Macaca mulatta: one gene and its partner. Each later gene encodes a partner of the first gene's protein in a complex. Links are inferred from orthologs where the notes say so. Each region holds a gene or a part of one and is shown on either strand. Other genes may lie near its edges. The genes, in order: CTSK and CST3.

What was found.
Region 2: the proteins of CTSK (region 1) and CST3 are in contact, whole or in part, in a crystal structure (PDB 8V57), measured with the Mus musculus proteins. The link is inferred for Macaca mulatta from reciprocal best matches to the Homo sapiens genes CTSK and CST3. Residues at the interface, in NP_031828.2 of Mus musculus: Asn132, Gln133, Gly134, Gln135, Cys136, Gly137, Cys139, Trp140, Glu173, Asn174, Tyr175, Cys177, Gly178, Gly179, Gly180, Tyr181, Met182, Ser248, Ala251, Ser252, Gln257, Phe258, Val274, Asn275, His276, Ala277, Ser297, Trp298, Ser301, Trp302; in NP_034106.2 of Mus musculus: Pro27, Arg28, Met29, Leu30, Gly31, Ala32, Pro33, Gln75, Leu76, Val77, Ala78, Val80, Asn81, Tyr122, Pro125, Trp126, Lys127, Thr133.

The regions. Positions count from the first base shown.
Region 1 is NC_133406.1:116,304,582-116,308,812, reverse strand, and holds the start of CTSK (cathepsin K precursor), read right to left. Parts: upstream 2,951-4,231; 5' UTR 2,939-2,950; intron 2,176-2,938; exon of another isoform or gene 1,902-2,175; intron 1,581-1,901; 5' UTR 1,580-1,580; coding exon 1,460-1,579; intron 998-1,459; coding exon 875-997; intron 790-874; coding exon 634-789; intron 1-633. UniProt on the Homo sapiens protein: Thiol protease involved in osteoclastic bone resorption and may participate partially in the disorder of bone remodeling. Displays potent endoprotease activity against fibrinogen at acid pH. May play an important role in extracellular matrix degradation.
Region 2 is NC_133415.1:60,396,714-60,401,159, forward strand, and holds the start of CST3 (cystatin-C precursor), read left to right. Parts: upstream 1-1,550; 5' UTR 1,551-1,605; coding exon 1,606-1,848; intron 1,849-4,072; coding exon 4,073-4,186; intron 4,187-4,446. UniProt on the Homo sapiens protein: As an inhibitor of cysteine proteinases, this protein is thought to serve an important physiological role as a local regulator of this enzyme activity.

The DNA of each region.
Region 1 (4,231 bases):
ATAACAATAATAATAATTTTTTGCGGGGAGAAAGGACTGTGACCCAGCAATTCCAATTTTAGGACTTGTTTTGCATAAATATTTGTACATGTGCACAAAAATATATGCACAAGGGTGCTTATTGCAACACTATTTGTAATAAAGAAAAACCAGGCCGCGGTGGCTCACGACTGTAATCCCAGCACTTTGGGAGGCCAAGGCAGGTGGATCACCTGAGGTCAGGAGTTCAAGACCAGCCTGGCCAACAAGGTGAAATCCCATCTCTATAAAAATAGAAAAATTAGCCAGGCGTAGTGGTGCGTGCTGTAACCTCAGCTACTCAGGAGGCTGAGGCAGGAGAATCGCTTGAAACCGGGAGGTGTAGGTTGCAGTGAGCCAAGATTGCACCACTGCACTCCACCCTGGGCGACAGAGTGACACTCTATCTCAAAAAAAAAAAAAAGGAAAGGAAAAAGAAAAACCAGAAACAACCCAAATGTACAGAAACAAATGAGGTTAAATAACAGAATGGGGAGATGTACCTTAATCCCTTGCCCTCTCTTCCTGGTGCCCTTTCACCTCAAGAACAAAGCAGCAGAAAAAGGAAAAGGTCATGCCAGATTACATATGCACACCCAGAAGAAAGGAGAGTACCTGATTTTTGACAGGAGTAACATATCCTTTCTTTCGATAGTCGACAGAGTCTGGGGCTCTACCTTCCCAGTCTGGGATATAAAGGGTGTCATTACTGCGGGAATGAGAGGCGGGTACTTTGAGTCCAGTCATCTTCTGAACCACCTCTTCATTGGTCTGAGACAAAGAAGAAAGAGGCCAGGCATCAGCAGGGAACTAAAGCAAACGGTGCAGGTGGGACAGGAGCTGAGGCTGTACTTACCATGTCCCCCAAGTGGTTCATAGCCAATTCATATGTATGGACACCAAGAGAAGCCTCAAGGTTATGGATGGAAATATACTTCAGGTTTTTTTCCCAAATTAAACGCCGAGAGATTTCATCCACCTAAACAAAGCATAGTCAGTACTTGTATAGACCGTGTACAGTTACATATGTCATATTGTGAAGGGTTTTAGGAGAATAAAGGAAACTCACAATCATAAAACTTTACAGTTTAGTTGGGGAACTAACCATGGAATTATTAAGGCCTGCAAGAAGAGATAATACATAAAGAAATACAACACAAAGCTCTGGAGAGACAGAAAAAATGCTTATAGATGAATAGCATTAATCTTAGAAATCTTCCCAAAAGAGAAATGTAACACACTTATAAAGCAAAGGAAGGATACAATTTGACAGAGGATGATTTGAAGCATAGGAATGAAAACCGTATGTTAACGTGAGTTAGGAAAGAGGGACTGATTTGCTAGGAATAAAGCATTTGGATTGAAGAAGGGAGTCTGCAGCTAAGATGAGAGAGCTCAAGTCTCAGCCCTCCTGCCATGCCCCCTTCAGGACCCCAGGCACCTTGCTGTTGTATTGCTTCCTGTGGGTCTTCTTCCATAACTCCCAGTGGGTGTCCAGTATCTCCTCAGGGTACAGAGCAAAGCTCATCACAGGTAGCAGCAGAACCTTGAGCCCCCACATCCTGCAGAAGAATGTAATTAGGGAAAACTCTTCCATTTGGCAGGGAAACCAAGGAAAACTAGGCTTTATGAGGAAGAGGAAGGTAGACAGAGAAAGGGTGATAAATCAATGATAGTCAGGAGGGACCTGTGTTTTGATAGGGTGCTGGTACATCTGGTTCCAAGTTATGATCTAGGCAGATGTAGCCATTTCTCTCTCTCTCGGGAGATTTAACCAACACACACACACACTCTCTGTCTCTCTCTCTCTCTCTCACACAAACACACACACTTACACAACCAGAAATAGGATAGAAACTGGACAATCAGAATGGGCTCAGTGCCTGTTTCCTCCAGGGTCCTCAGCAGGCTTGGAGACAGATAAAGAGCAAGGTGGTAGTGGGGTTCAGAATACACAAAGGAGAGATTTCCATCTAAGTTTTGCTTCCTGATCATTTCTTCGAGGCATTTTTCTCTTTCTTGCCTAAATTCTGGTACTTTCCCAGATCTTGTCAGAAGAGGACAAGGGAAAATATGACAATGTTTCCTGTTTTCTGAGACATTTTCTATCTCCTCATTCTCCTTATGCATTTCTTCCTCCTTTTGCTCTCCCCTCCCTCCTTAGGCAGGAAACTGCCCTAATCTTAACCAGATGCTGCGGGCAAGGTTTTTTATTTTTCCCCTAACAACAAAAAACCACTGTGGCTGCCGCACAGGACAAGGAGCCTCAGATCCAAGGTTTGTTAGAAGAATGTTCAGACTGAAAAGCAATGTTCTATGATTATTAAATTCACAGCTTTTCATAAGTTTAGCTAGCTTCACTCATTTCTTGCATTGGCTTGCTTAATTACAACTCCTCCATTTTAAGAACAATTTGCAGCTTGCAGCATGTCATATGGCTTACACAATTGCTTATAGTCCATTTACATGTAATTTTTTCAAACTGGCAAAATGTCCAGTAGGACACTTAAAAGTTAGAGTGTTAAGGGCTTTGAGATGTTTCAGCAAACAGGAAGCACTGAGCTACCACCTCCCCATACCACTCTCCTCCTCCTCCTCACTAGGGAGTTAACCCTTTTGATCCTTGTTGGCCAAAGTAGAAAACACTGCAGAAAGGCTACCCTTGAAGGATAGGCAAATGATTCCCTATATACTTTGCTTTTAGTTACAACCATGTATATATATATATAAATCATACAAGGAATTCTACAGACTTCCAGGCAGATTTTATTTAGCCAGGGAATGATCTAAGAAGTGCATCTCAGTTTTCATCTGCAAAGGCTAAAAGTTCATTGTGATTCTCAAGTCACTACATCCCTAATACTCTTAGAGAATTGACAGGAATGAAAAGCTAAAAGATCTAGGAAGTTGCAAATGTTACCTGCTGATGGAACTGTTGTCAGGCTTCGTTTCGGCAGCGAAGTGTGGGCAGACCATCAGGGGTGCCAGATTTATTCCATCAGGATTGCGGAAGTCAGCTCCAGTGGTCGGCTGGAAAATTTGGGTAAGAGGAGGAGGCGGGGATAGAAATGCTGAGAGAAGGAAGGGTAGGGAGGAGGGAAGGAGTCAGTGGATTTGTAGTGTTTGTGTATGTGTGCAGCATGTGTGCCAGGGTAGGGAGTTGCTAGGTATTTAATCTCACAAGACTGTCTTTGGTGGCAAATAACAAGACCTCAGTATCTATTGACTCAAATAGGAGCTTACCTTCTCTTTTGGTGAGTAAAAGGAAGGACACAGCCCTAGTCTCTCCCATCCTTCTTCTTCAGTATCTTTATTATAACACTGGGGGATTACATCTTTTCCTACCCCTTTCCTGTTATGATTTACCTCTCCAACATTGAAACCTATTTTCAAATTTGTGTCTGACCCTCACCTCTGGGATGCGGGAATGAACATAAAAGGCTATAAAAGAATAATGTAATGGAAGCCATACGCTCCAGAATTCTTTGTATTTTTGTAAGCTTGTTGGTTGCAAGTTGTCATTACTTCCAGGAAGGAGAATAGCTTTCCCAGCCTAATGTGGTTTTGCTGAAGGATATACCCAGAAAGTCCAGATGAAACTGTCTTTAAAAGTAACCAAAAACAGCAGTCCTGGTTATCTATGACAGCACTTGAATCAGTGCCATAAGTTCTGATGGACTCCCATGTGACTCTGTTGCTAAAACCCTCAGGTGGTGGGATGCCCGATAAACATCATCTGTCTCAATTAAAATCCCCAATCTAGGACAAGTCACATGAGCTTCTCCAAATGCTTCCCCAACATCCAGGCATGTGACAGATCATAAGAATCTCGCTGAGTCCTCAAACCACACCCCAAACTTCATTTTCTTCCATAAACAGATGTGGGGAAGGAGGAAAAAAGGCTTCTTGGAATAGAAAGGATAATAAATGGGATCTGTAATAGACTCAGTTTCTAGCTGGATTCAATGCATAAACCCTCAAGAGGCTTATGCCTCTGGATTTTAAGAGCTGCTAGTGGGCTAGGTACGGTGGTTCACGCCTGTAATCCCAGGCCTTTGAGAGGCCAAAGCAGGTGGATCACCTGAGGTCAGGAGTTCGAGACTAGCCTGGCCAACATATAGTGAAACCCCATCTCTACTAAAAATAATACAAAAATTAGCTGGGCATGGTGGCACACATCTGCAGTCCCAGCTACTTGGGAAGCTGAGGCAGA
Region 2 (4,446 bases), on another chromosome or scaffold:
TGTGGCCACAGGGCGCTTGAAATAGGGCCAGTATAATTGACACCCACTCTAGGTGTAAAAAATACACAGGGAATTTCAAAGACTCAGTATACACACCCAAAATAAAATAACCTATGTTATTAATGATTCTTCTTATGTGTTGAAATAATATTTTGGATATATTGGGTTAAGTAAGAAATATTATAAACATTACCTTCACCTGTTTCTTTTTTACTTTTTGAAATGTGTCTCCTAGAAAGTTTTAAATTGCTCCCAGGTTTGCGTCACATCTCTGTCTGGCAGCAGCCCTGCAATGTTGTGTCCACGGCTCGGTCACCCAGGCTCCGTCTCTAGTTCCTACACCACCTGGTGCAGGGGGAAGCTGGTGACAAGTCTGTTTGTTGAATAATAAGGAATTGTGAAAGGAGAACCCAGAGTTTTTTACTCAAATAAAGGTTAATTCTTCTGTTTGAAAAGTCCCCTAGCACAGGGCATGGCCTGAGTCTTCTGCAGCCTCTGGAATCACATCTCTGCCTCAGTGATTTCTAGACCTTGACCAAATGCTCGCGGATACTCGGGACCTCCGACGACTCCGGAAGGCCAAGACCTCTATCCTTCCCTTTTCTGAGGAAATGAAGCTAGGGGGTCGCATGCTTTTAGGGCTCAGGGGGACTTGACACCTCTCTGGAAGGCAGGGTGACCTAAGCTTGGGAGGAGGGACAGGTCTATGAGATGAGATGGAGCTGAAGGGATGGAGTGGGTAGGAGGGGGGCGTGGGTGTAGAAGGGGTGGGGGAAGAGGGACCAGGAGTGGAGTTAGAAAAGGGGAAAGAAGAGGATAGGAGGGACAGAGACAGGGAGAGGCCAGGGGTGGGTAGGAAGGGAAGACAGAGGAGGGGTGGAACAAGGGAGGGGCGATGAAGAAGGGCAGAGCTTGGGGGCGAAGTGGGAGCAAGGACAAGAGTGGAGGAGGGAGAGGAGGGGCAGGGGAGGCGGTGTCTGGGGGTTGAAAGGGGAAACGGATAGAGGAGAAGGAGCCTGAAGAGGGGAAGCATGGAGGGGCCTGAAGTGGGGAGGCTGGAATGGTCTGGGATGGATGGGGAAGAATGGGGAGGATAGGAGGGGCAGGGGAGGCTGGGAGGAAGAGAGCAGGCGAAGAGGGAGAGGGGAGGGGAGGGGATGGATAGGGAGGGACAGGGAGGCTAGGGGGCAGGGGAGGAGCGGAGGGAGAGGGGAGGGGGAAAGGGAGGGGGAGGCGGGAAGGGAGGGGGGAGGCCGGGAGGGGCTGGGAGGGGAGGAGAGGGGATGGATGGGGAGGGAAGGGGATCCATGGGGAGGGCCAGGGAGGCCAGGATGGCAGGGGAGGCAGGGAGGGGAGGAGATTGGTAGGGAGGGACCGGGAGGCGGGGAGAGGTAGGGGAGGTGGGAAGGGAGAGGGGAAGCGGGAGGGACTAGGCGTTCCGGAAAAGGAAGCGCAGGGCGCGAGGGGCGGGGAAGGCCAGAAGGGATAAAAGCGCAGCCGCTGGCCCCGCAGTGTTCACGGCCTCGGGATCGCACCGGGTCCTCTGTCAGTAGCTCAAGCCTCTCGCCTGCGCCCCACTCTCCGTGTCCCGCGTCCTAGCCGACAATGGCAGGGCCTCTGCGCGCCCCGCTGCTCCTGCTGGCCATCCTGGCCGTGGCTCTGGCAGTGAGCCCCGCGGCCGGAGCGAGTCCCGGGAAGCCGCCGCGCCTAGTGGGCGGCCCCATGGACGCCAGCGTGGAGGAGGAGGGTGTGCGGCGTGCCCTGGACTTTGCCGTCAGCGAGTACAACAAAGCCAGCAACGACATGTACCACAGCCGCGCGCTGCAGGTGGTGCGCGCCCGCAAGCAGGTGCGTGCCGCCCCCCGCAGGGTCCCGAACCCTGGCCCCGCCGCCCCAGCCTGCCCCGCGCCGCTCCCGGACCCCGCGCTGCTCCTTCTCCCCGGCACCTGGGCTTCTCACCCAGACCCTGTTCCCGGTCTTCGCTGTCACCCTGGAGCCCTTGGCGGGCGTGTCTGGGAATGCCCCGAGTCTGGTCTGGCTTGGAACCGCAAGGACAAGCCAGGTCCGCGCCCGGCGCCTGAGATCTGCTTCCAGGCGCCAGCTCGAGCGGCGCCGCAGCGCGGGGGCAGGCACAGGACGTCCCACCCAACTCTGTCCAGGCCTCCTGGGACGCGGGGCTCCGGGTGCGCTGCTGAATACGCAGGAGAAGGAAAAAACAGAGCCCGTCATCTGGCTGCCTCCTTGTTCTTCCGCCAAATAATTTTTAAACACTTTAGTTTAACTTTTTATTCTCACATAATTTCTGACTTACAGAGCAGCTGCAGATATAGTACAGGGCATCCCTGTAGATCTTTCACCCAGATCCTTCAGATGTTAGCACGGATGTTAACATTTTGCCGTTTGTTCCCCCAGCTCACTTTCCGAATGTGAATATGGGTGTGTGTATATGTACTGTATATGCATTTTTTTGCCTGAATCTTTTGAGAGTAAACACTTCAGTGTGTTTTTCCTTAAAACAAGGGCAGTATCTCACATAACCACGATTCCATTTTGAAAATCAGCACTGACACATTCATGGTCTAATGCTCAGACTCATTCAGCTTTCCCTGACTGCTGACGGGCTTCATGCCTTAGGACGCTCCCGGGCCAGGAGTACATGAGTTCAGCCCTGTCCTGTCCCCTCTGCCTCTTTTCACCTGCAGCAGCCGCTGGGTCTGTACCAAGACCGTGCCATTTCCCAGGATCCAGCAGGTGTGGGTGGAGACTGTGCTGACTCTGGGTGGGCTTGGTGCTGGTCAGGATGAGATCCAGACCATGAGGCTCGTCTTCCTCCGGGAGTCCTCTCCATAGGGGCCACACCTGAGCCTGGCTCCTTGTCCTGCAGAGCCCTGCTTCCCTTCCCAAGTCACACCCCTGGGCACAGCCCTCTAGGACTAGGGGCCTTCACCCTCAGGCCGAATGACCACCCCCTACAGCCCAGGGCAGCTGAATTCCTGCTGGGGTGGAGCATGCCTGACCCTGCTTCTACCAGCTGATGCAGAGTTAGACCTCAGCCAGATGAGGACAGCAGTCACCCAGCAGAGCGGAGTAGGGGGTCAGATCCGGGGGGGAGCTTCAGTAGGGCTACCAGGTCCAGCTTGACCTGCATCCCATGGCAGAGCAACAAACAGTGACACAGACTTTAGAGCTCCTCCACCTTCTGTTGGAAATTCAGAGGAGTCTAGACCAGCCCCGTTTCTCCTCCTGCAGCCGTCAGCTGGGGTCCTCTCCCTGTTCCCTGGTGTAGGGTCCCCGCTGGCCTGCACCCCTCTCTCACTGGGAGTGAAGCACGGGGCATTGTAGGACCCTGGAACCTATTTTACAGAGCAGCAGACTGACACCGGAGGGATCACAGGACTTGCATGTGGTTCTACAGGACTTGTGTGTGGCTCCACAGGGCAAGGTCTAGCACCCTGGTCTCAGGGTCCCTCATCCCATGCTTCTCCACAGTTCTCACAAGTCATGTCTGGGGGTGGCACTGTGCAGGGAAAGCATTCAGTTCTCTTCTGAAGTTGCAACCGTAAGACTCACTTTGGAAATACTGCCTCCAAAATCACACCTGGAATGGAGGCATGTGGGAAGCAGTTTATTGGCCTAAAACATCAATGTATGTGAGCATCTCATCTCCTATTGATAAATGAGGAAAAATACCTCTGGGTTAAATGAGAGGAATGAGATGCTCTGTGGACTGAATGCCAGGAACTGGAAGTTTGCCGAAATTTCATCATCACATGAGAGCCTTCCTAGAATAGATCCAGTGTCCCTGCCCCCTGGGTCATAGGTAGCAGAATTCAGTTAATCCTTGGCATTGGCATAGAGAAAACAAGTTACCAGGGAGGCCTGGGGCATGGCATCCCTGCCAGCTGGCAGGAGGAGGTGGCTTGTGTGCCTTGCAAGTGACAATGTGGGTAGCTCGTGAAGGTAGGCTTGAAGCCCCAGGCAAGCCCAGTGACCCAGTCACAGTGAAGTGCCTGTGTGTGTAAGAAACTGACAGAGCGTGCTGTCCCTGCCTCCTGCTCTTTCACATGTGTAGATCGTAGCTGGGGTGAACTACTTCTTGGACGTGGAGTTGGGCCGAACCACATGTACCAAGACCCAGCCCAACTTGGACAACTGCCCCTTCCATGAACAGCCACATCTGAAGAGGGTATGTGCCTCATGTGGGTCCAGGGCCAGTCATACACTGCAGAGGGGTGTGTGTGTGTGTGTGTGTGTGTGTGTGATGTACATGTTCTGGAGGGTATGTGTGCGTGTGCCTGAGTGTGTGTACATATGGAGATGCACATGTGTTTCCATGTATAGGTTTGTGTGGGGAGGTTATATGAGTGTGTGCTAGTGGGTGTGTGATGTTTTGGGGAGGTGTGGGGGTCTATGCACGGATGTGTGTGGGTGTGTGAGTGCGCATGC